4 linked regions of the Elephas maximus indicus genome follow. The protein of the gene in region 4 interacts with the protein of the main gene of each other region in a pairwise test. Links are inferred from orthologs where the notes say so. Each region holds a gene or a part of one and is shown on either strand. Other genes may lie near its edges.

Region 1 (7,716 bases), on a different chromosome or scaffold from region 4:
CTTTACCTCATCAGAGAGCACAATCTAAAAAGGAAAAACTGGTCTTGAGATAAGGAAATAGTTCTCAAACTCAACTGTTCATCAAAGTCACCTGGAAAGCTTGTTAAAACAGGGGTTCCTGTGTCCCAGGACTATTGAATTAGAATTCCTAGGGATAATGTCCAGGATGCCAGACCAATCCTGGACTACAGCAGAAGACAAATGTGGGCACCTTCACTACCACCGAGATCTCAGAAGTAGAAGCCTGGCAATTAGTTTTCTATAAAAGTCAACCTAATGCAGTATTATTTACACATAAAATGTTTATTGTTTTTCATCTTTTTGTCTTCCCATTACTATTCAGGTAGTTCACGAGTTTCCAAGATCTAGAACTTTAAAATGCTGATCTAATTCCAATGTACTTTCAGGCACATGGCAAGAGATAACCATAAATTGGGTTCAAAGTTCCAGCAAAATCAATATAATCAGTTACTGTTGTGTCAATTCAGCTACAATCAATTTCTGGAATTGCAAAACTTAGTTGCTGGTGCTCACAGCACTTTGTATGTCCTTTTAAAGATACTCAGTGGCTAGTATTAAGAACGGAAAGGGGCCCTATAGTTCAATGAACCCTTAGCTATCATTTTACACATGAGGAAAACAAGGCAAAGATTTCTAGAACCAGATCTACTCCTGGTCCAGTACTTGAAGGGAAAGGCTGATTAGGTATACTGCAGCATGAAAGAAGGTAAACTTCTTGAGGGCAGGGCTGTACTGCCAGCACTGAGAATGGTGCCTGACATAGTAAAACCAGTAGCCATCAAGTTGATTCCATGGCAACCTCATGTGTGTCAGAATAGCTCCATCTAGTTTTCAATGGCGGATTTTCTGGAAGTAGATTGCTAGACCTTTCTTCCAAGTTGCCTCTGGGTGGACTCAAACTCCAAACTTTCAGGTAGCAGCTGAGTACATTAACTGCTTGTACCACCCAGGGACTCCTGACACACAGTAGGAACACAATAACTACTCATTGAATGAGGGACTGAATAGTGGCGGGCCTCACAGTAGTGGGTGAAACCGGTTTTTGTAAGTAAAGTTTTATTGGAACACAGACACATCCATTCATTTACTATACTGTCTATGGCTGGTTTTGTACTAAACTGCAGAGTTGAATAACTGCCACAGAGGCTGTATGGTCCACAAAGCTTAAAATATTTACTATCTGGCCCTTTAAAGAAAACTTTGACGAACCTTGATGTAGAGTCAGAATGAGGGTGGGTTGCTGGGGGCCTGCAGAGGTAAGTGGTTCATTTACACTCTACAGTCTTGGGACCAGTTTGCACAGAACTGAGCTACCCACATTTCCCTGTGAACAGCTACCACCTGCAGCTAAGATTCTCTAAACAAAACTATTCTTGAAAAGAAAACGGATCACAGCCTCCTTAGAAATCCTTTAACCAAAGTAACTAACTAGATGAGACTCTACATCACAGATTAACTGCAAGGCACTACTGAGCCCACCATGCCTTGCTAGTGTAAAAGATTTGCCCTTAGTGACATGAGCATAAATTTGGTTCATTTTTTCTCCATTTGACTCACAGGTCTAGCTTTTCAAGTCCCTTCTTATAATTTTTATACGAGAATTGGGTCCCTAGTGGAAGAGCAAATTTCGTTATTTTTATACTATTACAAAATAGGCTCTGTATTTTCAAACTAAACACTTCATCACCAAAGTAAAAACAAAGAAACACATAAACTGAGAAAAAGAAAGATAAGAGGAACGTCGTCCTTTTATCCCTAAAGCTCCAACGTATTTGGTTCTCAGGCTGTGAATTCATTAGAGCGGTTGGGTGTCTATTTTACTTCATTTCCAGGCCCTGGGACTGTGATTTTAAGTGTTTTCAGCAGAACAAAACTGTAGCATAAATTTGAAAGTTGTTAAAACACGGCTCCTATTACCATGCCCAACTACATATTTCAACGAGTTCCAAAAATGCAGGACAATATGAATAAAGGCCACTACCAAGGAAGTTATGAGAAGCTAAACCAAAACTCGATTTCCTTAAAGTCGACCCATAACCACATGTTAACAGCAAATAATACTGAATGCTACTCGTACAGCAATTTCTTTGTGCCATAAAAAGATGGTCTTTAGGGTAAAACGAATCAGCATAAAAGGAAAAAATCACGGTGTGGCAGCAATAAGTTTGGGGCTGATCCTGAGTGGGGACTGAATCATTTGGAACCGTGAGCTATAATGAAACTTTCTCTGACCTCAGCCCAGTGATGGATTCTTCTAAATTGCTTAAGGAAATCCCTCTTGTACTGCTCATTTACCCTCCACCCCATCCTGTCACACTTTAGTAATTTTTTCGAACGTGTCTTGACTCTCCAATTAAACAGTAAAATCCTATGGGCAAGGGCCGTGTCTCCTACTTCTCGTGTCTCCCAAGCTCTACCAACCAGAGCACCTAGGTGGTAGGTGCTGAACACAGTATTGAGCCCTGGTGGTGCACTGGTTAAGAGCTCGGCTGCTAGCCAAAAGGTCGGCAGTTTGAATCCACCAGGCGCTCCTTGGAAACCCTATGGGGCAGTTCCGCTGTGTCGCTATACTGTCGCTCTAAGTCGGAATCGATTCGACGGCAACGGGTTTGGTTTTTGCTTTTGGACACAGTATTATAACCAGTAAGTGCGATTTTCCCTCCACTCAGTCTACCCAACAGGTAATCACGGACTCGCAGGCTCGGGTGGCGACCCCAGGAGCCACCCAGCCCCACGACTCTAGGCCGCAGGCTGGACCCTCTGTCCGCCGCTAACCTGGGCATCGAGCCAAAGATTGAGCCGCCCCCGGCGAAGGGACTCGGCATCCACACTAGCGGATGCCCCAGGTCTCAGCCCTGAGGGCCGGCGTCGCTCAGCCTGGCCTCGGCCCCGCCCGTGCCCCACCGCGGCCCTCACTTGTGCGTTTGTTGGTACAGCGGCTCCATGGCGCCAGCCGCGCCGGCTCCAGCTCAGGCTTCCCCAGAACACGTCTTCACAGCCCCCTTCCGGCTTCCGGCTACCGGCTTCCGGCTTCCGGTCGCAGGGCCCGCCCACCCCTGCGGGCCGGGACTGCCCGCATGCGCGCCTGATTGGCCATGGGAACGAGACCAGAGAAGAGGGACGAAAAAAAGGCTAGGAGAGGAAGAATAAGTGTGGTCGGAGGCCTGGTCTCACATGGGACACAGGAGGTGTAGGTTTGGGGGAAAGGTTGGCTTCAGGATTGAGTCAGACATTGGCAAGGACAGCCGCGGGATACTGACGTGAGGTCCTCAGAGTCAGTTTGAAGGCAAGCAGGCGAAATCTCCGCTTCCCTGCAAGTTAAGAGAGGAAAAGTCCGTGGTGGGCTTTTGCGGTTGTTAATTGCGGGTCTGGAGATTTTGCTTTTCACTGAAATCCCTGGCACAGACTTTTCCGGTCTCAGGTTAGCCCGTTCACTTGCCTGTCTACCCTCTCCATGTATCCACCCAGTAAGCCCACATCGAATGAGTAGTGTCTTGTGTGCTGTGGGGGAAACCAGTTCTTCCGGCCCTCAGAGGTTGCCGTCTATATGCTAAAACTATTCCACGATGTAGAAAGCCGAAAGAAGTCCACAGAGATTGAGCCAAACTGGGGTCGGGTTGAGTGGGTGTCTCAGGCTTCATGAAGGAGGTAGCATTTCAACTAGAACTTGAAGGATTTGGACATTTTTGCTCCTCCACATAGACCTAGCCCGTTTCCACCCTCCCAGGCTTATCTGCAGTCCTTCCCAAGGGAGGAGATGTTCCTCTTCCTTTGACAAGTAGATGCTTCCATTTTCCTGTATCCTGGATCCCACCCAGTTTTGTGTCCCAAGAGACTGTCCACCCGTGTACATTTCTTTCCCTAACATTAATTTTTCCATTTATTCTAATATTTATTGAGCACGTACTATGTACTAGGCACAGACACTAGGGGTAAGGTAGCAGTGCTGTTATTCACAATGCCACGGCTCTTCAGAACCTGTTTGCACTGAACTATGTACATCTTGCCTCTCCAGTTCTTAATGTCATTTAATGCTAGTTATATCATTAGTCACGATGCTGCTTCATCCTTCATGCTGCCCATAGACACTGGCTCCCGGTGACTCAAAGATTGTTACTGTGTTTCATTGATGATGACACTAATGGCAAGTCTTACCTAGAGGATCCAGGAAAATGTAAATAATATTTCAGAATTTTATAGTGTAAATGTACAATGTATCTTCCAACCATGTCTTCTCCTGAATTCTTTAAGCCTTGATACAGTGTTCCTGGAAAGTGATCTCTTTCAGTATTGACTACAACCTTACCTTCCACATACAACCAGATGACACAGGATAGGGAGTGGATAGGTAAGGGGCCTGTGGATGGTGCAAGAAGAAAAGTCCCGTTCGTGCAAGGAACATCTGACCCTCACCTGGAACAGTTGTAAAGCCATTTGGCATTATAATGCTCTAGAATAGAGAAGATAGGCATGCTACTCCTAATATGTGGTGTGAAGCCCATGGAGGAGGTCTAGTGGCCACCCTGTTGTGAGGCAGGGGGCATACAGATTAAAGAATGCCACCACTCCCACTATTCTGGCATGCTGTAGACTGGAGGCAGCACTGCAGTTAGAACACAGGCTGATGAAAGCCATGGCGTAGACCCACACAAGAAGCTCAACCCTGAAGGTCAGTGGTGGGCTATCAGTAGCCCAGAGTTCTGAACTCATCCTGTATCCATTGTGAATGAGAGTGACCCAAAATCAGCAGGCAGTACCATTTTGATGGCCATAAAGGAAATGCTGTGTTGGTCAGCAGAAGGCTTCCTAGGTTGCCCTGAACAACCCCCTAGACATGAGTCTTAAAGCTCTCCAGGGCATCTGGTCAACTCTGCACATGGGGTAGAGGATCAGAGAGTACTCGGAAGTGGAGAAACAGACTGGCCACTGAAGGAGGACTTAGAAGATCTCAAGGATAACACTCTATAGTGTGGGACCTCCCTGAGGCCCTTGCCTAGGTCTGAGGGCAATACTGTATGGTAGATTAAAGATGTACTCATATACTTTGCTATGGCTCCCACTGAGAGGTGAAGTCTAGTTCTATTTCCTTTGAATCAGAGCTGACCTTAGTGACTTGCTTGACTAATAGAATGTGGCAGAAGTGAAATTTTGGGACTTTTCGGCTTCCACCCAACCTCCTGGAACACTCACTCTGGGAGCCCTGAGTTTGACTACCCTGAGACCATCCTACTGGAGAGGACACATGTAGGCGCTCTGGTCAACTGTCCCAGTTGAGCCCAGTCTTCCAGCCATTCTCACCAAGGCAGCAGATGTGAATGAAGCCATTTTGTAGTCCCCATACTAGTCTGTCTACCAACTGAATTTAACCAACTGACCTCTGTAAACACCACATGGAACAGAAGAATCACTCAACTGAACCCATGTCTGAATTCCTGTCCCAGTAAGTCAAGAGGTATAACAAAATGACTGATGTTTTAAGCCAATGAATTTTGGGGTCATTTGTTATGCAGTAATAGATACCCAGCCTCAAGGAATTTGCTGTCTATTTGAGGAGACAGAGCACAGGGCTTATGAAAAGGTAACAGTGCAAGACAATGTGCAGATATGTAATAAGTCATAAAAACAATTAAGGTCTCTCAGAATGTAGGGAAGGAGGAGATCCCATTGAATTAGAATGATAAAGGAAGACTTTCCAGAAGATACGAGATTTCAGCTGGGCCTTGAGCTACAAGAAGGATCTCAAGCAGAGAGGTAAAGTTGAGATGGTGTAGGGAGACCCAGAAGGCAGTCTGCGTGATTCCTTTTGGCTAGAGCAGAGGGTTTCTGCAGTAGAGGAAGATGGTAAGTCAGAATCATTCTGTGGACAGGAAAAGTGGTTTTCCTCCCTCCTGTAGGCAGTGAGGACCGTCTGGAGGGCTTTGAGCCTTGGGTAAAGGGATGAAGTAGTGAAACACGACTGAAACAGGAAAATCAGTATGATGACTTCATGATTTCTCCTCTTAATTTCAAGAGGTGCCCCACAGTTCTAGAATTTCAGGATTCAAGAAACCAGCCCATAGTCTGTTCCCTTTGCAGTGTGATAAACTTGGAATATCACTCTGAAGGCTTTTCTCTCTAACCTAAAGTCTTTTTGGTCTGACCAGCTTGATGAAATGTAACCCTTATCTCTGAAACCACATTAATTCATTGTGTCACTCTGGTTATCCCAATCAGATCGAATAGAATAATTCTCTTAGCCCTTCTAGCAAAGTCAGTGCCTCTTACACTCCCCATTCCCTGGTTGCTGTCCCCCCTCCTGGCCCATGTACCTTCTGATTGTTTCCTCCTGAACCCCCTTGCCTCTATTGTCTATCCCACCTGTACCAGTGCTCACACATGCCTTGTACAACTGGTACCAGCTGTGAACATGTCTCACCTCCCCTACTAAACCACAACAGCCTATCAAGAGGCCCTCATCATTTCTCAACGACAAACCTGCTATCAGGTCTGCTTGCTTCCTCTCCCTCCCCTTTCTAATCATCTTTAATATTGCCTGGAAGATCTTTCTAAAGCACAAACTTGACGTCATTTGATACCTCCCTTGTACTTACAGAACACAGTAACAAATCTTTATCTGGCTTCATCCCTGGCCATTTTCCCTGCGTGTCTTCTGGCCTTTGCATACACTGTTCCCTCTGCCTCAAACAGGCCGGATCAACTCCCACTCATTCTTCAAGTCTCCGTGCTGGTTCCACCTCCCTGAGGGAGCATCTGCAACACTCAGGCTGGGCTGGATCTCCTCCACTACGCTCCCTGGGTGCCTGCCTGTCAGCACTAGTCCCAGGTATCCCAATTCTGTGACCCCCGTCTGCTTCCCCCACCAGATGGTGAGCCAACGGATGTGTCCTTCATCCCTACATTTCCCCAGCATCCAGCTCAGTGCCTGGTACAATATCGGTGCTTGTAATATATCTGTCACCTTGAAATGGACTCCATTTAATCAGCTCACTATCTTAAATATTCTACCTGCTTGGCATTTTGGAAGTACAGAATTATTTGAAAGTTGGAAATTATAAACTGCCAGTGGCAGGGAGGCCATTCTTGCTGACAGTCATCATCTGAAATCAGTACAGAGCGTTAAATAAAAGACTTTCACAACCGTTTTCTCGTTCTATGCTTGCAACCACCAGGTGGGAGGCAGGACAGGCATCACTATCCCGGTTTTCTAGGCAAGGACATTGACTTCAGAGAAATTAATGTGCTTGACCAAGCTGACTGAGCTCATTAGTGGTGGAGGGGGACTAGGACCAGCCTGCAGCCTCACACCTTCATGTAGCTGCTATATCATCCTGCCTTTTCTACCCAAAGAGGGCCTTGCCACCATGCAGGGGTGGCCATTACACAGATAAATAGGACAGCCCTGAATTGCTTCTGCATTGGGCAGCAACAACAACCCTAGTCACACACCCCCAAAGCCTAAGAAGCATAATCGCACTGCGTCTCGGCTTGTTCCCTTTCGGTGTAAAGCTGAGCAGACAGAAAGGTTGGCATTTCTGAATTCAGAGGCTGCAGTGAGCTGAGAAAAACAAGCACCTATGGTCCTTCTAGGACCCACCAGGTGGAGCGATGTTGCCCCGGGTGCTAATGGAGATGGGAAGGGGTCTCCAAGGAAGCTGCCCACCACGGAGAGTCCATCAGCCAATTGTCTCATGTAGC
Region 2 (7,901 bases), on a different chromosome or scaffold from region 4:
TTGTTTTTCTGGGGGCAAGTTTTCTGCCTTTGACAATGTACAGCTTACCACTTTCTATCGATCTCTATTAGTGGAAAATATTGAGTTCCTTCTCTGACAGGTTTCTGCCTTACACAGCTTCCGGCTTTCACAGGTTTTACTCTATGTGGTCTTTTGAAACATTCCTGCGTTATTCTAAAGCAGCGCTTCCCTCTTATGTACTAGATTTCTTTACCTAGACAAGCTAGAAGGAAACAAATGGGATGAGGTGGATTAAAAGAAGTAGGACCAGTAGAAGGCAGAAGGCAGAGTACTGGTTCTGCACTTCAGAAACAATATTGACTCAAAGTGTGCAGTTCACCTCAAAATGTTTTCCACAGAAAGGAATAGGCCCCTGCGAGCCCCACCCCATGGAAAAACCACGTACTGGCCAGGCACAGTGATGATTTACTCAAATTGCTCAACACCCTGGGAGTTCCTTTGCATCAAGGAGTGTAGATTTTTTAAAAGACAAGAGCTTTAGTTCTTGTTTATTTTTTTCCTTCCCTTGGGAAAGAATATATGAATAACTTTCTTCTAAAAGTTATTCGTATTTGTAGTGTTGATGTTTCCAGACACATTGACTAGGACTAAAAACAATTGCTCTCTAAGCAAACCAATTTTCAAAGCAGAAGAAAAAGGAGTGTGGCTCGCCCACCAAGCATGAGATCATTTTTTAAGTTCATTACCTCTTTCCCTCGCCCAAGTTTTTTTTTTTTTTTGCACCAGAAGAACACACAGACCACACCTCAAACTCTAGCTCAAGCTAGAGAAATTTAGATTGACAAAGAAAAAAAAAAAAAAAAAGGAGGAGCAGAAGAGGAAGAAATCAAGAAACACAATACGGTGTTGCCTTAGCCCCAGCCCTGCAACCCAGGATAAGAGCAGACAGTTGTGTGATTTAGGGATGAAAGTAGAGATGGGTATGAAAACTTTAGATCAGGACGATTGCTGGTGTTCTTCAGTTTTGGTTAGGATGAGTCCCTGGTAATGACGAAAAGAGGAACTTGTTCTCATGGCCATGATACTCACGGTTATAACAGCCACAGCTTGTAGCACCCATCGGTTTTTCTTACTTTAAAGCTCTAGACCTGTGCTGACCAATATGGTAGCTACCAAATGCATGTGGCTACTTAAATGCAAATAAATTTAAATGAAATAAAATGAAAAATCGAATTCTGTAGTTGCACTGGCCACATTTCAAGTGCTTGACAGTCGCATGTAGCTATGGCTGCTGTACAGATTTCCGTCATCACAGAAAGTTCTACTGGACGGTGCTTCCCTAGATCCCGATGTTCCCTGTGAGGATCTGAGTCTTTCACTCACCTGAAGTCCACGGCTGAGATGTAAGCAATGGCTCAGGCACTCTCAGCCAAGTAAGGACCTCAGGAGAGGACGGGATGGCCCAGTGCCAGGGCAAGAATGCTATGGAGCATCATTGGGGAAACTGAGTTTAGGGAACCACCTCATGAGTGTGGTCTCTGGCCCAGGTAAGGAATGGTGGCCTCTTAGGGTTGTGGGCAGCCTGCCTGGTCATCAGACTCCGACTCCAGCAGCAGAGCACAGCACATTCTAGGGTTGCTTGGTGTTTGCCTTGGTTAAGAAGGTTTAGTAGGCGAGGTCAGAAAAGAAGTTCTGAGATTTCATTTGTTTTTATTGATTAGATGGTATCTAAGGTTACGGAAACTCTAGAGGCATAGTGGTTGAGTGCTATGGCTTAACCAAAAGGTTGGCAGTTCAAATCCACCAGGCGCTCCTTGGAAACTCTGCGGGGCAGTTCTACTCTGTCCTATAGAGTCGGTATGAGGCAGAATCGACTCGAAGGCAACAGGTTTTTTTGGTTTTAGGGTTACTTTTGGATCTAAAAGTCTATGAAAGTGAGTTGATTTTTAAGCCTATTGTAGCAGAAAGCAAAATAAGAAATTCTTCTCCTCATTGAGAAATCAAAATAAAAACTCCTTCTTCACATATATATAAAACTGAAATATATATATTTATATATTCTAAGTTATAAATATATGTACGTATATATATATTCTAAGAGAGTTCTTTCCTGTTGTACTTAGCAACTCAACTCATTAAAGAAAAGGTCAAGTCTTTAAAAAACTCAAAAATTATTAAAAATTCAAGATTACAAAAATCTTTAAAACTAGTTATTACAAGTGAGGTTTTAGCTTGATATAAGAAAAAATAGTACTAGCATTACTTGAAACTTAATTTGCATCTTAAGCAAAAATGTTGTTTGAACAAAATTGTATATTTAGTACCTCCGGATCCTGGTGGATCCACTAATTGGTGACAAGTGAAAATAAATTATGTAAAAACAACACTGCATAGTTAAAGTTAATTTGTTGACTTATTTCATGGACACATTTATTAAGCATAACTGTTTGCGGAGAAGAAATGTGAGTAAATTGTCTCACAAATCACGTAATGAGTTAGCAGGATCAAACGATTTCTGACAAGACGGGGAAGTTTTCTCTCTACCCGAATGACAGATTATTAAGAATGAACATGACTTGGTTTCCTTAAAATTCCTTTTGCTTTTCTGACTCCAAAAGGAAATTGTTGGTGGGGGGGACGGGAGGACTATAAAAGTGACTGAGATTTAATCAGCTTCCCAGGGTCCTAGGATTTTTCTTGGTCTTTCTGTGAGAAGTTTGAAGTTGAAATCAGGATTCCCAAAAGAAATTTAACCAGAGTTCTGAGAACAGGACAATGATATCAAAGGTTTTAAGAAAGCAATTTATAGAGTTCAAAGTAAAAGAGAATGAAGCAGTCACAACATCCTAAATCACAAAAAATGACATGCTCCATTCCTCAGGAATGCCTGTTCTTCCCCCTTCCCTGTCAGGCCGCTGGCTTCCCCCCAGGAAAGCACCCCAACCACTCAGCGTGCAGTGGGCTTCACCGCAGAGCGCAGGCTACTCACGGAGCCCGGGCCGCCTCCTCTGGCCGCGCTGGCCCACTCCGAAGTCGGCAGGAGCCTGAGGTGCTTTTCTACCCTGCAGCGATTCTTTGGAGCTCTAAGACCAGGGAAGGGTGGTCTGTGATTGGGAGGGAGGCATCTCGCATGGGCTGAACCTGGTGCTGCCTGTGCCTGCCTCATTGGAGGGCGAAAGTAACAGGAACCTTTCAGTCACTGGCTTTCTGCTTCTTTGGAATGTGGTGACTCAGGTAAAAGCACTTGTTTGTTTTTATTTGTATTTAGTTTGCTTTTATTCGTGTGCTTTGAAAAAAAAAATTTTTTTTTTTGACCCTTATTTCTGCTTTTGTGTATTGTCTTAGTCAGAGGTCCCTGGAGAAACAGAATTAGTGACGCAGATGTGGAGTCCCTGAATTAGTGATGCAGATGTGGAGTCCCTGGGAGGTGCAAAATGTAAATGCACTCAGCTGCTAACCAAAAGGTTGATGGTTCAAGTCCACCCAGAGGTGCCTTGAGAGAAAACCATGGTGATATATTTCTGAAAAACCGGTCAGTGAAAACCCCGGGATTGTCATGAATTGGAATTGAGCCAACAGCAATGGAAAAAAAAAAAAAAAAGTATACATATAAACAGAGAGATTGATTGCTTTACTTCAAGAAAACTGACTCCGGTGATTAAGTAAATGCAGAGGTCAGGCGACAGGCTGGAGACTCCTGCAGGCTTATGTTCCCAGATCTGTAGGTCAGACAAAGGGAAGAGAGTGGGAGTTCTGGTAAAATGTCATTTATAGTTTGGAGACAGAACATTCTCAAGGGAAGCTCCTTTTTTGCTCGTAAGGTCGTCAACTGATTGGTTGAGACCCACCCACGTTATGGAAGGTAAACTGCTTTACTTAAGGCCAATTGATCTGATCACAAGTAACTACAGCAACTAGGCTAGTATTTGACCAAACAACTGGACATCATAGCGTAGCCAAGTTGACACATAAAATTGTATTAAAATGCCTATCTATTGTTCTGGCTGCTCGTAGTGGTGCTGGTATAAGCTTAGCTGTACAGGGTTCTGTCCAGTTTCAGTTTCTATATTTTGAATAGGCTGTATTCACAGGAATAGTAATTACCCAAGTAATGCTCACACTGTAGATGGTCCAAAGATTAGTAAGGGGGAGGGTCAAGAGATCTGGAGACAAACAGATTGGGAGGAATTCAAGCTTAGAGAGAGGGTTCAGGTAATTACCTGCTGATGGTAGTTTCAAGGCAAGTTAACAAGCCTGATGACCAAGGGAGTATCTACCTGGGCTCAGAGATGTTGGTCTTGTACATACCCTCAAGCTTTCCATTCCTGTGGGGCTTCACCCTCTCATCTTCAGTGCCAGGGAACCAGTGGAATGTTTCTCTTCACAAGCACTGCACTCCCTAAAAAGACCCCTTCAAACTGACTTTTTTTTTTAATGGAGGGAGGGAGGGAATTGTAGTGCAAACTGGGCAGGACAGTCACTGGTCTCGTATCTGGAAGTCCTCTTATGTGGGATACTTAACACCTTTTGCTTTAGTTACCAATTTCAGGAAAAATGGCGGGAATACCCTTTGGCTCCTCAAGGCATGATGTCTACATTTTCAGTACTTACTAAGTCCTCAATACATTGTTGTCTGGGTGATTCTGACTCATGATGACCCGATGTGTTAGGGAGTAAAACTGCTTCATGGGGGTTTCTTGGTTGTAGTCTTTATAGAAGCAAGTCATTAGGCCTTTCTTCCACGGTGCCACAGGGTGGGTTCAAGTGGCCAACCTTTAAGTTAGTAGTCAAGTGCAAGCGATTTGTACCACCCAGGGACCTCACTAAGTCACTGTCAAATTCACTCTTCACAACAGCCCTGTCCTCCATTTTACAGATGAGAAAGCTGAAAGTTGAAGAGGTTAAGTTGTCCACGGTTATAGAGCCTTTTAGCGTTAAGGACTCCAGTCAGCCTGTCCTCACAGCCTGCGCTCTTAACTATTTGACAACACTATTTGAGTGTAGTTAGGCAATCAACGTAACCTCTTAAATGGTATTAAATTTCTAAATTGCTGATTTTATTTTTTTTTCTATTAACTGCTTAATGAAATAAGTAGAGTAGAATATTGTTCCTGGGATAAGAAGCCATTTTCTGCAAAACTGCCTCAAAAGTAAGTCTGCCAGGGCACCCATGCTCTTTGCAGACTAGACCAGTCACTAATCAGAGCTCTGCTTCCATACTAAGTCAAACTTCTATACTGAGTCAAACTTGCAAAATGTATTCCTGAAATGCCAGGTCCATAAAATTCTCTAGTGCCTCTGAAAATTGCCTTTCTTCCAGCGGGCCTTGGCTCTCTTTGCAAATTTTCCTAGAATGTATAAATTCAGACTTTTTGACTTTTAATGGGTTCTCTTTTTTATTTAGCAATCCTTTTGTTCGACATTAAGTGACATTATCCCATCCCCTTCAGCTCCTGGTCCACACCAGATGATAAATATTTAACTCAGCTCATACTTTTAAATTATGGCCACCACAAGATGACTTCTTAGAGCAAGTCTAGACCTTTCCAAGGAAAGGGACATCCCAGTATTAATATTCTTACCATTGGGAGAGATTTTAGAGGGTTTTTTTGGTCCAAATTTTTCATTCAATGAAGAAAAGCCTCTATAATATCTCTGATGTCTATATTAAGGGGCAACCCTGTGAAACGTGTTATGTTTAGTGTAGGATATTGTTGAGGATATTTTTCACAACCCTACATGCTGGGTCTAAGAGTTCCCAGGGGAAAAACGTTACCTCTGGTCTCAGTATTTGGAAGAATTACACTTTTCCTAAGTAACTGGTTTTTATTTATTGGACTCAATTTTGCCTCCATTCTCTCCACTCTATTCAGTTTGTCAAGTTACCAAACAACCTCTATTTTTCCAAATCCAGTGGACACTTGTCTTCATTTTACTCAGGATTAGTCCATTCTTCTTGTAATACTCTCTCCTGTCTTTCATAACATCGTATCCTGTTCAAGTTTCTCCTATTTCTCTCGCTATTCCATTTTTTCCACCTTGGCCTGACCAATTACTCTAGATGGCTCCAGGGCTTGGATCCAGCCCTCAGTTCTGAGTAGTTCTGAAACTGTGTTTCCATCAGCGGTTAGTCTCCCTGTTCACTCATTTCCATTACTCTCTGGTTAGAAGTTCAAAAAGATAAATTTCTTCCTGAATTTGAGGGTAATAGTAAGAATCCCAGGCTTTTGTCTTTTTAGCAATACAGCTGTTTCTCTCTTTTTTTTTTCTCCCTTCTTTTTCTTTCCTTGGCCACCAGTTTTGAAATAGGTAATGCCCTCTTTTATTTTGCTATCTGGTAAATATATTTTTAATTTTTTTAAAGCTTTTGTTTATTTTATTAGATATTGGAAGCAGAAGATTTTTTTTCTTGTACTTTAGATGAAGGTTTACAGAGAAAATTAGCTTCTCATCAAACAATTAATACACACACATATATATATTTGACTCCAAATTCAGTACTTTATTGTCCAGAGAGGGATCTGAAAACACTCGCTTCTGAATAACAACACACTGTCTTGGGAACAGAAAAAAAAAAAGTATATGCATCTTGTTGCAGGCATAAAATACATTAAAAAAAAAAAGTTGCTGACGAGCCGATTCAGACTTATGGCAACCCCATGTGTGTCAGAGTAGAGCTGTGCTCCAGAGGTTTTTTTTTAAAATAATTTTTATTGGGTTATTGTGCTTTAAATGAAAGTTTACAAATCAAGTCAGTCTCTCACACAAAAACTCATATACACCTTGCTACATACTCCCAATTACTCTCACCCTAATGAGACAGCCCGCTCTCTCCCTCCACTCTCTCTTTTCATGTCCATTTTGCCAGCTTCTAACCCCCTCCACCCTCTCATCTCCCCTCCAGGCAGGAGATGCCAACATAGTCTCAAGCGCCCACCTGATCCGAGAAGCTCACTCCTCACCAGCATCCCTCTCCAACCCATTGTCCAGTCCAATCCATGTCTGAAGAGTTGGCTTTGGGAATGGTTCCTGTCCTGGGGCAACAGAAGGTCTGGGGGCCGTGACCACCGGGGTCCTTCTAGTCTTAGTTGGACCATTATGTCCGGACTTATGAGGTTTTGGGGTCTGCATCCCACTACACATATTGTTTTATGACATTGGTTGCAGTCATGGATTGAATTGTGTCCCCCCAAAATATGTATCAAATTGGTTAGGCCATGATTCCCAGTATTGTGTGGTTGTCCTCCATTTTGTGATTGTAATTTTATGTTAAAGAGGATTAGGGTGGGCTGGTAACACCCTCATTCAAGTCATATTCCTGACCCAATGTAAAGGGAGTTTCCCTGGGGTGTGGCCTGTACCACCTTTTATCTTACAAGAGTTAAAAGGGAAGCGAGCAGAGAGTTGGGGACCTGATACCACCAAGAAAGAAGCACCAGGAGCAGAGCCATCCTTTGGACCCAGGGTTCCTGAGTAGAAAATCGCCTAGTTCAGGGGAAGATTGATGAGAAGGGCCTTCCTCCAGAGCTGACAGAGACAGAAAGAATTCCCCTGGAGCTGAAGCCCTAAATTTGGACTTCTAGCCTACCAGAGTGTGAGAAAATAAATTTCTCTTTGTTAAAGGCATCCACTTGTAGTACTTCTGTTATAGTAGCACTAGATGACTAAGACAGTTGCCAGCCTCGCCACATGTCAACAGTCTCCCCTTCTCAACCTTGGCTTCCCTGTTACTAGCTTTCCTGTCCGCTCCTGCCTTCTTGTCCTTGCCCCTGGGCTGGTGTGCCCATTTAGTCTCCTTTTGTTTTATGGGCCTGTCTAATCTTTGGCTAAAGGGTGAACCTCAGGAGTGACTTCAGTGCTGAGTTAGGAGGGTGTCTGGGGGCCATATTCTCGGGATTTCTCCAGTCTCTGTCAGACAAGTAAAGTCTGGTCCTTTTTTG
Region 3 (7,979 bases), on a different chromosome or scaffold from region 4:
CACTGACTGATTTTCAGAAGTAGATCGCCAGGCCTTTCTTCCTCATCCATCTTAGTCTGGAAGCTCCGCTGAAACTTGGTCAGCATCCTAGCAACATGCAAGCCTCCACTGACAGACAGGCGGCGGCTGCGCGTGAGTTGCATTGGCCGGGAATTGAACCCTGGTCTCCTGCATGGGAGGCAAGGCTCTACCACTGAACCACCACGGCAGAGCATTAAAGGTATTTAAACCTGTAAAGCACGTGGAATACTGCCTGGTGTATAATAAGCCCTCGACAAACGCCAGGTAAGCCTGCCGCTAACACTTCTGCTGACTCCATGACAACGGTCTCCAGGGGCCGCCAGCGCCTCGATGCACGTTCTCAGAAGGCTTCCGGATTCCCACCGTAGCTGCATCACCAGCCCTCGGGAGACCTGTGCGTTGCCTCCTGGAACCCTGGCTGCGAGCAACACTCTGCTGTTGTTCTGGTCAGGAGAAGTCTCGTGTGAGAGATGTCTGCCTCAAGGTACGGAGGATCAACGGGCACTAGCAGAAGCTTCTGCATTCGGGAGAATCGTAACCAGCAGCTAAGTGACCTTGGGCGTGTCCTGGAAACTCTGGGACTGTTTCCTCATCAGTCAACTCAGAACTCTTCTAGCCCAACCATCGACCCCTGCTGGAATTCCCTCCTCTGAAGCATCCCTGGCCCAATGGTTGCTAACTGAAAGGTCAGCGGTTCAAACCCACCAGCCACTCCACAGGAGAAAAGACCTGGCAATCTGTTCCCGAAAAGATTACAGCCTAGGAAACCCTATGGGGCAGCTCTACTCTGTCACATGGGGTTGCCGTGAGTTGAAATCAACTCAGCAGCTCACACAACAAAGCATCCCTGCCAGGTAGCCACCCTTTGTTTGAATGCCTCCAGGGACAGGACACTCGTTACTTCTCAGAGCTGTTTACAGTACTCCTGGACAGCCCGATTGTTAGTCAGGGAGTCAGACCTGCCTGACACCCTACTCCCTGGTATAAGCCAGCTGTGCACCAGACTGTTTGGGAATGAAACAAGCAGAGGGAGAAGGAGGCGGCTCAGGCTGAGGAGGGAATCACCTGATAAGGTGCTGCCTAGGGACACAGCATTGCTGGCAGAGGTGGCCACCACTCCTCGGCTGAAGGGCAGACAGCCGGGGGCGGGGTTGGAGGGGAGGGGGCAGTGGGGCCAAGCTTGGCTCACTAGGCAAGTCTGACCCCTAGGAAGGGAGGGGACCCTCCCATAATGCCCAGCCTGGGCCAGCCTGCACCCTCGATGCCCAGGGTGGTCTTACCATGGCTGGGGGTGGGGGCACAGGTGTGACCAGCCCATCCCCCTTCCCCAAGCTGAAACACCTGGCTGCCATTGCTCCGGTGTCCCATACCCAAAACTCAGACAACAGAGTTGGGGGCGTGAAAGTTGGGAAGCTGAGTGAGCCTTTCAAAGGGTCCACACTGCGAACAGCAGAAGCTCCAAACCCCTAAGAATGGCCCACCAGGGGCAATCTTCCACCCGGTCCCTGCCCCCTCCGTGAAGCCAAGTCCCAGCGTCTCCGCCAAGGACCTAACGAGATGATCGATACAGACGCACTTCACCCAACAAGGTGACCATTTGTGGCCGGGGTAGTTTTTAAGGAGCAGCAAGGTGGCCAGAATGGATGCTGTGTTTGATTTCAGATCTTGACGCAATCATCTAGACTTTTACACGCCTCATTTACCTTTCCGTCTTGAGAATACCCTTCTTAATGGACAGAAACTACCTGACTGCATGCTGTATTCAAGAAAAGGGGATTCTTTAAATTCAGCCAAAACATGCCTCGGGGAAGATGATGCTGAAACGTGTCCACAGTTCCACAGATACTCCGGCGAGGACAGGAGGAACAAAGCGAGGAAGGGGCTCTACCGAAGGGCACACAGCGCCAGCATGGAGTGCGGGGGGGCCGGGTGTCTCAGGAAGGGAATGGACGGGCAATGAAGGCCCCAAGGAGGGGCCACCCGGCCAAGGAGACGGCCGTCCACCTTGGAATGGGCAAGCGGGCCAGAAGCTGCACCCCCTCAGGGCCTCCACTGACACAGAACCCCTGATAGGATGGGCCGGGCCGGGGCAGGAAGGAAGGGGGCAGAAGTTGCGGCTGAGGGGCAAGGACTTCGTTCAGACAAGACTCCCAGGAACATCACGAAGGGCTCTCTCCCAGCTCCATTGTCAGGAGGAAGCTGTCACCTAGGGGAGGAGGCCCCCCATCACCCAATCCCGGAGGACGCTGCCTCCCGCGCCGCCCGCCCCGCGCAGCCCAGCTCCAGCCCCAGCGCACGCGGCGTGCTTCTTTTGTTGCCGCCGCCGCCGCCCGAGATTTAGGGGTGCGCACCCGGCCGCGCGGGGCTGCGGCGGGGCGGAGGCGTTGGGGAGCCCCTTACCTTATCCGGGGGCGGGAACTGCAGCTGATTGACGTCCAGGGGCGTCATCAGGGGGATGGTGTCGAAGCCGTCCTCCAGCAGCACCTGCTTGGTGCCCTTCTCCGCGAAACTGTTCCCCAACTTCACCATCTTGCCGGGGGACCGAGGCTGCCGCCTACAGAGCACAGGGCCGGGGGCATCATCGCGGGCAAGACCCGCACCCACCCGCCGCCCGAGGGGGGATTCCCCGCCCCCGACCCCGCGTCCCCGGGGCGTCCGCGCGCTTGCCAGCCCCGCCTCGCTCCCGAGGGTCGTGTGGACACGGCGGTCACCGCCCGATAGGAGGTGGCGTGCTCCGTATGTACAGATCCCACCTCGCTGGACAAAAGCGGCCGCGCAGGGGTGCCCGCGGCTAGAGGAGGGGGCGCCGCCCTTGCCCAGCCCATGTAGACGTGTCCGTAGCCCTGGAGCCGTGCACCCCGGCGACCCCCACTTCCCCCGCGCCCCAACCCCGCTGGGGAGATGGACGGCCCCTTCCCCGCGCTCCGGCCCGGCGCTCACCCTCGCCTTCTGGCAGGTCTGGCTCGAAAGCTCGGAGCTCCGCGTCGCCCGCTCTGCGCGCAGCAATGGCGGAGGCGGTGCCGGGCGGCGGGCGCGCGGAGCGATTGGGCCCCGCGCGCCCCTCCCCGCGCCCCCCCGCCCTCCCGGGGTTAATGGGGCGCGGGCGGGGGGACGCGGGGCGCAGCGGCTCGCCTTGACGCAGCGTGCTTGCCGAGCGCACAAAGGACAGCGGCTGGGGCGGGCGGCTCCCCGGGGGACCCCCGCCGCCCCAAGCGGGGGAGGGGGGGGGAAGGGGAGGGTAGCGCACCCTGGAGACCCCGCGCCTGCCCGGAGCGGGGTGGAGGGAGGGGAGCGCCCTGGGGATGCACGCGGGGTGGAGGCTCCGAGCGGCGGGAGGGGCACCGCAGGGCTGGAGCGCCAGTGCGCCGGGCTGGGAGCGCGGGGTGCGGGTTGCGCCATCCTAGGACGGCGGCCGTGGAAGAAAGTGATTAGAAGCAGGGGAGGGAGAGGGGTCCTAGGATTGAACCAACCCTCAAAGGTGTGGGGGAGGGTGAAAAGAAGGTGCGCGGACCTGGGCGTGCCGAACATGGGTGGAGGGCTTGGGGAGATTCCAGGAGGCGGTGGGCGCTGGCAGAGACCTGAGCGTTTTCTGCGTGCGATAAAAAAGGGCGCGCCTGGGGATGAAGGACAAGTGTGGGAGCTGAGGGGGATTGTCAGTGTTGCGGGGGTGTGAGGGGCGCCCTCCGAGCGCTGGGCTGCGGGTGACCGGTGGGGGGCGCCCCAGGGTAGCGGAGGGACGGCATCCAGGGCAAAGGGAGCTCCTCGGTGGAGTCTGATACCGGGACGGGTTTCCTGGCCTGGTAGGAAGAGAAGGGAGGGGTCCCCCTACTGCAGCCCCAGCATTGGGCATCCCGGGAGGGAGGGGCGGTCCGAGGCCTGGAATGAATTAGGGGGTGCTGTCGCTGCTGCCCAGATCAGGGCCGCGTTTTGCAGACCTCGAACAAGCCCGGCCGAAAGCCTTCCACATGGAAAACCGCGAGGGGGCCGAGGGAACGCGACCAAACGTGAGTGGGATCCCGGCCGCGAGGCAGTTGCCTGCTTGAGCAACTGGGGAAACGGCGCCGGGCCTGCGAGGGCACGGAGTAGACGTCCCCCAAAGTCCTTACCTTCGCGCTGGGCCGGGGTCCCCTTTGCACCGCCGAGGCCCGGCGTATCCTATCAGCCGGAACCCCGAAAGAATCCCTGAATAAGCCGAGAGGGCAGGAGCACCGCTGCTGGGAGCGCTCACTATGCCCTAGGCCCAGTCTAGGAAACTGCGGCACGCCCTCGTTTTCAAAATCCCCACGAGGGCTCCACAGCCTTTTACAGGTTTCTCGTAATTCGCCCTGGTGGGCTGAAGGGGCTTTGGACCGAGGATCAGCGGGCTAGAGCTCAGGTCTTAATGGGAGGCTATCCCTTGGCCAGCCGCGGGACAGCAGGGATGGAATGCCCTAGCTTCTACCGCAGGCCCCCCCGGGCCAGCCCGCCAGCATCCTGGTGGCCGAGGTACCCACAGGGCCGATCCCCAGGTACAGCCTCTCCCCAAGAGGTTCGGTGTGCAGCACCACGGGAGCCACCTCCCAGACACTTCAGCCCCTTCCTGCAGCAGGTGAGGAAGGAAAGTTAGAAGCCTGCCTGCGCCTGCAGGTCCTGACTCCCCAGGCACGCGCGCTGGGGACTTACCTGGGATCTGACTCCACCTGTCAGGAGAGACCCTGTGGGCCTCAGGGTAGGAGTGACTGTGTCCCCTCTCAGGCCCAAGTTTTTTACAGAACTCACCACAGGCCACACCGATATGCTAAGGCCAGAATCCCACATGAGTAGCAACGGGTGGGGCCACCCTGGAGTCTGTGCCACCCCCTCCTTCTCTCTTTATCAGAAAAAAAAAACAACAACAGTTACTATGGAGTCCCTGCAGAGTCATGGCGATCCCACCTGTGTCAGAGTAGAACTACACTCCACAGGGTTTTCAGTGGAGGATTTTTCAGCAAGTAGCTCACCAGGCCTTTCTTCCAAGATGCCTTTGGGTGGACTTGAACCTCCAACCTTTGGATTAGCAGCTGAGAGCATTAACTGTTAACTTTTTTTTTTTTTCATGGTGCTAAATATATGTTCAAAGAAAACAAAACATGGAGAGAGTAGAGCACCTCAGACTTCAGTACCTGTGAGCATGAGGAGGCAGGAAAGGACACGGCGTGTGGGGAGCACCCAGGCAGCAAGCCAGAGCTCAGGCTTCAGGAGTCTTTTGGTTACACATTTTGTGTATAAACAGAACTTCCAGCAAGTGGAGTGTTTTTCTTTGTTTTACCTTTATTCTCTTAATGAACCACTCAGCAGTTCCTAATTTTCTCAACGTGTTTCTAAGATCCATTTTGTTCTCACCACGAGGCTCTTGACCTTGTATAGAGAGATGGGGGTAGTGAGCAAGAAAAGAGGTGGACACAAGGCTCTGGTGGGTGACCCTCCCTGGACCCCAGTTTCCTCGTCTGTAAATGGACAGGAGTGACCACAAACGTTGTCTTTTTTTTGTTGCTGTTGTTCCCAGCTCCAAGATTTGGGGTATAAGAAGGAATGATTTAAACAATGCTCCCCATTTCAGCCCCATTTTGGGGTTGCAGGTCAGAGTGCTGCTGTTTCCGGGAATGGATGGGTAGACAGCCAGCAGATGTTGCTTCTAAGGCGAGATAATAATCTCCTGGTGCTGGAGCTCACAGTTTTCGTCGCCTGCCCATTCTTCTTGCAACCCTGGCTGTTTTCAGATGTTTGAACCTGCCCAACCCTAAAATTAAGAACATTAGAGAAGGAAAATATTTCAGACAAGAAATTGTGGCCCTATATAGGTGGAAGGAAGGAATCCTGGTGGCGCGATGGCTAAGTGCTCATCTGCTCACCAAGAGGTCAGCAGTAAGAGCCCACCAGCCCCTCCTCGGGAGAAAGATGTGGTACTCTGCTTCCATAAAGATTACAGCCTTGGAAACCCTGTGGGGCAGTTCTCCTCTGCCCTGTGGGGTCGCTATGTGTCAGGGTCAACTTGATGATACACAACAACATAGCTGGAAGGAACTTGAAAGGATAGCCTGTGACCCAGAAGTTTCCATCAGCAGGGGGTGGAGAGGAAGAAGGAGAAGAAGCCCCTCAGCCCCCCAACAGGGGACAAGGGGAAGTACATATGTAGTCCCAAAGAAGGCACCCAATGTCTTTTTTTTTTGAGGGGGGTGGCCAGGGAGGTCAAATTCAGAAGATAAAGCTCCATGAAGTCTGGGCTGCAGGTAAGTGCAGGTAAAAATTAATCTGGGATCAAGGGATTTTCAGAGGTTGGGTAATACTGTAGTTCCACACCTCCATTTTATAGCTGGGGAAACTGAGGCCGGCCAGGAGTAGGGTGCACAATTGCTGGGCACCCAATAGAGAACTAGACTGTGGTCCTGGGCTTCTGGCTTTTTCGTTTTACTCCCAGGTAAGCAGCGGAGCTTTGCAGACAAGCCAGACTGCCCTCCACCACACCTATTATGGATTGAGTTGTGTCCCCCAAAAAGATCTGTTGACGTTCTAATCCCCAGTACCTGTGAACATGACCTTGTTTGGAAATAGGGTCTTTGAAGATGCTATCAGTTAATATGAGGTTGTATTGGAGCAGGCTGGATCCTAATTCTCTACGTTGCTGTTGTTCGCCGCTGTGGTAAGCGGTCGGCCCCCGACTCGTGGCAGCCCCACACACAACAGAACAAAATGCTTTCCGGTCCTGCAGCATCCCCATGACCCCATGATCGGTTGCAGATTGGACAGGGCGACTCGTAGGGTTTTCATCAGCTCATTTTCAGAATTAGATCGCCAGCCCTTGTCTTAATTGGAAGCTCCCCTGAAGCCTGTTCAGCATCACAGCAACACGAGCATCCAATGACAGATGCGTGGTGGCTGCGCTTGAGGTGCGCCAGCCAGGAATGGAGCCCAGGTCTTCTGCACAGAAGGCAAGGAGTCTACCGTGAACTTCCACGGCCCCTTAATCCTATATGACTGGTGGCCTTATTAAAGAGAAGAAACGCAGAGGGAAGATGGCCGTGAGAAGAGGGCGGCAGAGATGGGTGTGAGGTAACCATGAGATGAGGAGTACGGGAACCACCAGAAGCTAGGAAGGGCAAGGGAGAATCTTCCCCAGAGCGGACAGAGAGAGCATGGTGTGGCCCACGCCTTGAGTCCACACTTGGAGCCTCCAGAACTGTGAGACAATACATGCTTGTTTGTTGCACCCAGTTTGTGGTCCTTTGTTCCAGCAGACCCAGGACAGTAATTACCTGACCTCTGCAGCACTGTCAGCCCCCTGGAGGCCACAGTGGTACTGGGTGGGCTGCTGCCCTTGGTCTCCAGAGCCTCTCCCACCATCTCCCCTTCTCTAGACCGACACTGGCCTGTGTAGACCACGGCCCACTTCAGTGGGCTTCCAGGTCCTCTGGACAGTGGTGGCTTCCTCCCCTGCCTCCCACAGCTTGGCTATGTCACTCAACGGAAGGTCACTCTCCTCCCAGACAGCTGTCACCTGTCCCCTTCCCCCTTCCAGTCCAGGGGTGGTACCAGCTCCCCCACTGCAAGCTCAGGCTACCGGACCACCCCTACTGGGCCCCCACTCCCTGCCCACACCTTTGCCTCCTCAAATGATCCCATTTTAGGATGCCACCTGCATCCTCTTGGGATCTTGACTGCCACAGATAAGACAAGGACATTTTTTGCTCCCTGCCTGGACCTGCCCTCTAGCCTCTCGTGACCCTCCTCCAGGGTAGAGAATCCGAGGATGCTGTAGCTGATGAAATACTTTCCCTTCCATTATTTTTTTTTCCTTTTTCTTTTGTTGTTGTTGGGTGCCATCGGGTCAGTTGCGCCTCACAGCGACTCTACGTACAACTTTACAAAAATTCGGAAGTCGAAGGAGCAAATATGCTAGACCTGTTTTACAGATAAGGTAACTATAATAACTAGCTGAAGTG
Region 4 (7,570 bases):
GCCCTGGTGGAGCAACAGTTAAGCGCTGGGCTGCTAACTGAAAGGCTGGTGGTTTGAACCCACCAGCAGCTCTGTGGGAGAAAAGACCTGGTGATCTGTTCCCATAAAGATTACAGCTTTGGAAATCCTATGAGGGCAGTCCTACTCTGTCACATGTAGTCTCTGTGAGTTGAAAATCAACTCAATGGCAGCCAACAAGGTGAAGGTAAGATGGGTTCGGTCTGTGTATGTGAAGCTCTTATGTCATGGGGTCTGTTCTGGCCACTGCTGTATCCACAGTGCCTGCAGATAGTAGGTGCTCAATAGATGCACGCCTGTCCTGGCCTCAGAAACCTGTGGGGCTGGGCCCATCCGGGCCATCTGGGCTCTGCCTCAGACAAGGGGTGGCATCTGAGGCAAGGGACTTGACCTCCTTGAGCCCGTTTCCTCCTCTGGAGAATGGGAATGGTGTTACCTCCCTCCTAGGGAAGGAATGATGTAAAATCCAGAAAGCTCCTGCCGGCACTTAGCAGGTGTCAGTCCTGTTCTGGGCGTTTCACATGGATTAACTCATCCCACCATGTGGGTAGTCAGTACTATTAGCCCTACTTTACAGATGAGGACACCGAGGCACAGAGAAGTTACAGACTTGCCCAAGGCCACCTGTTGAACATATGAGCCTCTTTCTCATCCCTCTAACTCTTCAGAGGTTCTTCAGTGAGCTAAACTGGGCATCCCTCTGGCTTGAACCCATGCTTCTAGGTTTGGCCTAGAAGAGGGGCAGGAACCCACAGATAGGGGAGATGCCAGGGCCTGTGCCAGGGGCTTTCCCTTAAGTCTTATCTTCTCCCTGTACCCGATCCCACGGGCTCTGAGGATCAGAACTCATCTATACCCTCCCTTGATGTCTCTCTCTGTGTCTCTGTCCCTGCCTCTTCTAGATGGCTTTCTCTCATTCATTCGCCCAGTCTGTCTCGCCTGTGTCTTGCCTCTCCAGGTCTCTTGCCCTCATTTGCTTCCCTGTCTCCCCTTCTTCTCTCTTCTCTTCCCATCTCTCAGTGACTCTCCTCTGCCCAAGCCTTCTCTTTCCTTCCTCCAGCCGTCTCTCTGACTTTTTCCCCTCCTGCCCTTCTCTGTCTCCATCTCCCCCTTTGGGTGTGTTCCTCTCTCTCCTCAGAGCCTCCTGAAGCTGTTTCAGTTCTTGCCTGCGGGTTCCTCAGTGTCTGCACGCCCTCTGCTGGTGCAGGAGAAGTTTAGCCTGGCCAGGCAGCCCTCTGGTTTCCGCAGCCTGGTCTCTGCCTTGGAATTCCTATCTGGAAAGCCTCCTGAGGCCAGAGTCAGGCCTGGGGCGTGGGGCCTTGGGAAAAGAAGCTGGCTCTGCTGCTGACAGCTGGGAGCCTCTAAGAAAGGGACCCTGCCTCCCCCATTAGACTGGACTCTCCCAAAGATGGGAGCCCTGCCTCCTCCTTTAGACTGGGCTCTCCCAGATGGTAGGAGCCCTGCCTCTCCCATCAGACTGGGCTCTCCTAGAGGGTGGGAGCCCTACCTCCTTCTTTAGACTGGGCTCTTCTAAAGGTGGGGGACCTCCCTCCCCCTTTAGACTGGGTTTTCCCAGAGGGTGGGAGCCCTGTCTCCCCTTTCAGACTGAACAAAGGGTGGGAGAGCTGCCCTCACATCAGATTGAGAGCCATCAGAGGGTGCTTATAACACAGTCTAGATGGTTCTACCACTTCTAGGCGTGTGGCCTTTGGCCAAAGACTTTCAAGGCCTCAATTTTCCCGTTTGGGAAAAGCGAGAACAGGAATGTTTTGCTTTGAGGAGCAGTTTGGTTTTGAAATCACTACCATTTGTGGAGCGCTCACCCTGTCCCAGCTTTAAGGCTGCACCACATCGTCACAACACCCCCTGAGGAGTCTCAGTAGGGGTAACCCAGTGCCTTCCTCCCAAAGCAGCTTTTATACCCACTTGGTCTGCATTCTCCCAGTCATTCAAATAATAATTATTGCATTCCTACTATGTGCCAGCCATTGTTCTAGAGCTATGTTGCCCGATACGGCAGCTACTTGCCACTGCGGAGAGTGCAAACTGAGATGCTGTTAGTGTAAAATACACACCAGCTCTTGAAGACTTGGTATGAATAAAAGAATGTGAAATAATCTCATTTGCTGTACTGATTATAGGCTGAAAGGGTACTATTTTGGGTATAGTGGATTAAATAAAATGCATGATTGCCATTTATTTTGCCAGTTCCTTTTTACTTTTTTAAAAAACGCGACTACTAAAAAATTGAAAATTACAGATGTGGTGCATATTAGCTTCTACTGGATGGCACTGCTCTAGGGACTGGGAATCGCAGAGTGAATGAAAGAGACCAAAGCGCTGCTCACATTCCCGTGGCGGAGACTGAGACTAAACTGACAAATAGATGTCAGTGCTGTGAAGAAAAGCAAAGCAGAAAAAGGGAGAGAGTGTCACAGGGCAGCTGTCTTCTGTGAAGTAAGGTAACATTTGGTTTGAGATCTGAATAATGTGAGGGATGAACCTGCAGGTAACTGGGGAAGGCAGTTCCAGGCCGGGGAATAGTGCGTGCAAAGGCTTTTGCTCTCACCGTCTGGCCTCCCCAGAGAAACAGGACAAGGTGTACAGAAGGGTGGGCACACCGAACCGAAGTGAACCAAACCAGCTGGATAGAGTAGAATTGCCCCAAAGGGTTTTCTAGACTGTAATCTTTACAGAAGCGGACTGCCACATCTTTTCTCCCAAGAAGCCGCTGGATGAGTTTGAATCTCGGAGCTTTGGGGTAGTAGTCAAGTGCTGAATTACTTCACCACCAGGGCTGCTTAGGTGGGCACACAGTAGGTACTTAATCAATGTTTGCTTGCTCCTTCCCTCCCGCCCCTGCCCCAAGGTGGAGATTCAGCCACACAAGCCAACTTTCCCAAGTCGTCACTGGGGCCCGCCCTGTTAACCCACTGCTCGCTGCTCAGCACTGACCCCCCACGCCAGCCAGCCACTTACTTGCTGCAGCAGGGCCACCAGCCCAGCCCTCAGGTAGGTCCATGGGCCACTCCGCCCGCTCTGAAGCTGCGGGCAAAGCTAACAGCCTCCCTCCGTCAACAGGGGGGGCAGGGAGGGGACTGGCTGCCTCGAGAGCTCCTGGAAGGACAATCAGAGAATGGCTTCCTCCGACTGGGCACCCGCAGATGGGGGCCTGTGCCACCCTGCCTATGCCCCAGGCTGCTCTCGGGTCTCAGAACCTGTTTGCCCACCCCCGCCTGGACCAAAGCAGTGCCCGCTCTGACCTGTTTTATGGACTGGAGGTGTGGGCTGGGAAAATGGGGGCCTGGGGCGCAGGCAGCAGAGATCAAAGCGGGGGGCTAGTGAGTAGGGGGCACTGCCTCCTGGTCAGGGAGAACAGGGTGGCCTCCTTGCCTCCAGTTGTCCCCACAACCCTGGCTCAGGCCTCGTCCTCTCCCCCTGGACCTAGCCTCCACCTAGCCTCCTCTCTGGTCTCCCAGCCTCCAGTCTCTCCTCTCTAGTCCCTTCTACACATGACCCCAGAGTTGACCTGCCCTTCCTTGTTCAATACCCTCCCATGGCTCCCCAGCACCCCCAGGACAGAGCCCAGCTCCTGAGCCTGGCCTGGCCTCATCCACCTCCCCACCCCAAATCCCACTTAATGCTCTAGCAACTCAGAACTGCATGCTGTTCATCCTTCCCCAAGCCACTATCACAGGAACTGACTCGTCAGCCCTTCCTGCTTTGGCCTGGATGTCCACTCTGGGAAGATAATTCTGATTTCCACTCCTGGGCTGAACCAGGCACTGTCTCTGGATCCCCACACTGCCCTGAGCTCCCGCCATTATTTACTGCCAGATCAGTCTGTATTGGAACTGTTGGCTTCTCACAAGTTTGACCCCATCCCTGCTCCCAAACCTCTCATGGCTTCCTAGTGTCACCAGGACTGAATCCCAGCCCCTCGGGCTGTTGTTCAAGGTCTTGCACACAGGAGTCCCTGAAACATCCTCTCTCTTTTTGCTATTTTTCTCTCCAACAGCCCATTCCCGGGTCCCTCACCCTCATCATGGCAATGGAAGTCCAGCATCTTCCCTCCATACCTGGTCCTGGTCCTCTTCTGGATTCCCAGCTAGAGGCCAGTCGTTCCAGGCCTTGGCCATATTCTGGGTGCCATTCCCACCCCCAGCCCGGCCCCACTCACAGTTCCCCTGGGACACGTTCCCTGAGTCCCTGGGGCAGCCTGGGACTCCTCAGTGCTCCGACAATGTCCTGTGCTGCCTCCATTATAACCAGGTCTACCACTTGACTGATCCTCCACAATACCAAACGGTGCCCACTGGGCTGAACTGAGCATGCCAGGGTGAATGGTCAATGTGATTGTGACCCTAGGGCCATATGGGGGCTCTCTGTCTCACTGGGCAGTGGGGAACCCCTCAACCCACCTCCTCAGACCTCTGTCCTTACCAAATACTCCCAACACTCTGCTCTCCCCAGCGCCAATCGGGATCCACAGCTGAAAGTCGCACGCTTCTCCGCGGCTTATAGAAGGTCCTAGAAAAGAGGGTCTTTGAAGAGAGACCCTTCCAGGGTTTGGACAACCCTTGAGGGTGCAAAAGGTGGCAATGGTTGTGGGGCTTGAGTGAGGAAGGGTCCCTGTTGTGGCACTGACAGGAGCCAGAAGCTCTATGACAGAATTTGGGGACTAACTTCTGAAGAGGTCTTGAGGGGTCTCTGGTCAGATAAGGGTCCAACAAGACTTCCGATGGGAAGCTGCAGTGGGAGGGGGTCTCGGCAGGAATTCTGGGAGGTCTCTGACTGGATTTTGGGAAGTCTCTGACAGGATTTCTGTGGTTCTCTGACAGGACTTTGGGGAATCTCTGACAAGATTTCTGGGGTGATCTCTGGATTTTGGGAAGTTTCTGATAGGATTTCTGGGGAAGTCTTTGATAAGATTTCTGGAGAGGTGTCTGGATTTTGGGCAGTCTTTGACAGGATTTCTGGAGGGGGTCTTCGACTAGATTCTGGGAGTCTGACAGGACTTTTGGTGAGTTCGACAGGCTTTCTGGGGATCTGACAGGATTTTGGGGTCTCTGCTAGGATTAGGGGTGTAACAGGATTTCAGGGAGTCTCTGACAGGCTTTGAGAGAGGCTGACAGAACTTCTAGAAGATTCTGACAGGATTTCAGGGGCCACCTATAAGATTTCTGGATGGGTTTCTTCGAAGGTTTCTGAGGGGATTCCGCCATGAGTTCAAGAGGACTCTTAACAGGATTTGGAAGGCCCTGATATTGAGTCAACGGCAACGGGTTTTTTTTTTCCCCCGGCATATTGAAGAGTCTCTCTCTTTGAGGGGTTTTGCCAAGATTTCGGGAAGGGCTCTCCCCTGGGGCTATTCTGGGGAACCTCGCCACACGCAGAGTGCACCTGAAGCCACGTCTCGGGACCGGCCGAGGGCCACTGACGACGAAAGGCGGTTGCGCGCCAGGGGAAGGGAGGGAGAGGAAGGGGTGCGCGTGCGCTTTTCCCGCCAGAAAAAAAGCAAAGAGGTCGGGGAGGGGCGGGGCCGAGCGCGCGCGCGCAGCGTCTAAGTCCCGCCCAGCCGCCCCCGCCTCCTCCCGCAGCTCAGGCGCACTCCTCTGGAAAGGCGAGAGCGCTTCGCGTCTGTTACCTGTAATGGCGAGGTCGCGCATGCGTAGGGCTGCCGGGGCGCGCGTCCAGCCGGTTGGAGCGGGCGCGTGCCCATTGACCGAGCTGGTGAACGATGGGTGGCTTGTGGGTGGTGGGAGGGGGGAGGGTACGCGGCGCCGGGGTCTTCTCCGGTGCCTTAAACTTCTGTGAAATGGGTCTGAGCAAGGGAGAATTGGACTGAGGGGCCTCTCCGCCATCCGCCACTTCTTATCAGTTGTCGAGCCGTGCCCAGCCGGCCCTCTGTTTCGTACCAGGCTCCCCATCACCGTCACAATGATGTTCCACCCCCCGGCTCACCTGAACCTGCGTCTGCTCCCGCACCGTTTCCTGGCACCAGTCACGCTGTCCTAATAGGTCCCCGAAGGAGTCTTTCCCAAGAGAGAGGGGGAAAAATTATTTTCAGCTTTTCTGGCTAGAGAGAGGAAGAGAACTACATCCAAATGTGACTCCCAAGAAGGCACGGAAAAAGAATCCTCTTGTCCACCTCTTGTTCATCCAACCAGTCATTTCACCTGTCACTTACTCAGAGAGGCAAACAAAAATCATATTAAGCCTTTAATAGAAATCGATTGAAGTGTATTTAACATAGGTTTTACAAATTGAGGCAACATTTTTGACTAGAAAGTAAAAAATGTTCCAAAGAAGAAAAGAGTCCAAAGATTCTTATACCACATCTTGTCACTAGTAATTATATGTTGCCATGGAAATAGGGCCTAAACAGCATTTACATAACTCGTGGACATAACCCCAGTTTGACCTTTGGAGTTTATTTTGTTGAAACTGTACATAGATAATTCCTTAAAAGAGCACAATGCCCAAAGCAAAATGTTCTTTACTATTAATACGTTTAAAAGAACTACTAACGAGTCAGAATTTACTTGATGGGAATGGGTATTGTTTGATTTAAGGCAGTTTTCTCAAGGCTCAAGGCTCAAAGATCATCTTAGGGTGATAGCTTGGGTGGGTCACTTCAACCTTGATGGAATCCAGAAATCTGGATTTATACTATAAATATAATGTAAATATCTATATTTATATTAAAAAAATACAACTATTCAGATGATCTAGTTCACTTTTGGCAAGCTGTGGTTTTCAAGGAATTTGTCCATTTAATCTAAAATTTCAAATAATTAGCATAAAATCTTTCATAATATCAGCCCAGAAATCTGGATTCCACAAGAATTAAAAACTTCATTCCTCATTACCTACACTAGACCCCTGCCTCTCTATAAAAAAAAAATATATATATATATACATATTTGATATTTCAGTGATCTTCATGGCATGTTTCACCATGTGACATATTCTATATTTGTGTGCCTCTGTCTGTCACCCCCACTGAAATATGAGCTCTGTGGAGACCTGAACTTTGTTTTCGGACAAGAATGTGCCTGGCCCAATGTGGGCACTCGAAAAAAATTTATTGAGTGTATGAATGAGTGAAATGAAAGCACTAATCCAGTACAGCTATATGGGGAGAATTATTTAACTGCAGCTCTTTTAAAAGGAAAAATTGGAAAATTCACCAGACTCTAACAATGTGGGAATGTGGTTCATTCAGGCCCCAGAACATGTTACCATTAAAAAGGATGAGCAAAAGGTTAGATTAAATCTATGCTGTTTAACTACTGGACAGATGACTAAAGCTGTGTCCTGCCCTCAGACATCTCTGGGTTTGAATTCTGGCTCCATCCCTTCCTAGTCCTGATCTTGGGAAAATGACTTTCTCTCTGAGCCTTGGTTTCACCACAGAAATGCAGATAATAATTACCTCTTAGATACCTTGAGGTTTTAAGGCGATAATTCAAGGCTTATAGGAGATCTTTGTTAATTGGTAGTTATTATTTTGGCTGTTAGATAGTGGCTTATTATAAAGCCTGGGAAG

The links.
Region 1: the proteins of KASH5 (region 4) and GOSR2 interact in binary tests that used the Homo sapiens proteins (3 or more experiments, as listed by UniProt). The two-hybrid records come from large-scale screens. The link is inferred for Elephas maximus indicus from reciprocal best matches to the Homo sapiens genes KASH5 and GOSR2.
Region 2: the proteins of KASH5 (region 4) and UPK1B interact in binary tests that used the Homo sapiens proteins (3 or more experiments, as listed by UniProt). The two-hybrid records come from large-scale screens. The link is inferred for Elephas maximus indicus from reciprocal best matches to the Homo sapiens genes KASH5 and UPK1B.
Region 3: the proteins of KASH5 (region 4) and NSG1 interact in binary tests that used the Homo sapiens proteins (3 or more experiments, as listed by UniProt). The two-hybrid records come from large-scale screens. The link is inferred for Elephas maximus indicus from reciprocal best matches to the Homo sapiens genes KASH5 and NSG1.

The regions. Positions count from the first base shown.
Region 1 is NC_064837.1:52,052,232-52,059,947, forward strand, and holds the start of GOSR2 (Golgi SNAP receptor complex member 2), read right to left. Parts: upstream 3,026-7,716; 5' UTR 2,967-3,025; coding exon 2,938-2,966; intron 1-2,937. UniProt on the Homo sapiens protein: Involved in transport of proteins from the cis/medial-Golgi to the trans-Golgi network.
Region 2 is NC_064819.1:9,501,411-9,509,311, reverse strand, and holds the start of UPK1B (uroplakin-1b), read right to left. Parts: upstream 3,058-7,901; 5' UTR 2,951-3,057; intron 1-2,950. UniProt on the Homo sapiens protein: Component of the asymmetric unit membrane (AUM); a highly specialized biomembrane elaborated by terminally differentiated urothelial cells.
Region 3 is NC_064823.1:156,810,899-156,818,877, reverse strand, and holds the start of NSG1 (neuronal vesicle trafficking-associated protein 1), read right to left. Parts: upstream 3,058-7,979; 5' UTR 2,962-3,057; intron 2,576-2,961; 5' UTR 2,551-2,575; coding exon 2,422-2,550; intron 1-2,421.
Region 4 is NC_064829.1:99,849,135-99,856,704, reverse strand, and holds the start of KASH5 (protein KASH5), read right to left. Parts: upstream 3,041-7,570; coding exon 2,998-3,040; intron 1-2,997. UniProt on the Homo sapiens protein: As a component of the LINC (LInker of Nucleoskeleton and Cytoskeleton) complex, involved in the connection between the nuclear lamina and the cytoskeleton.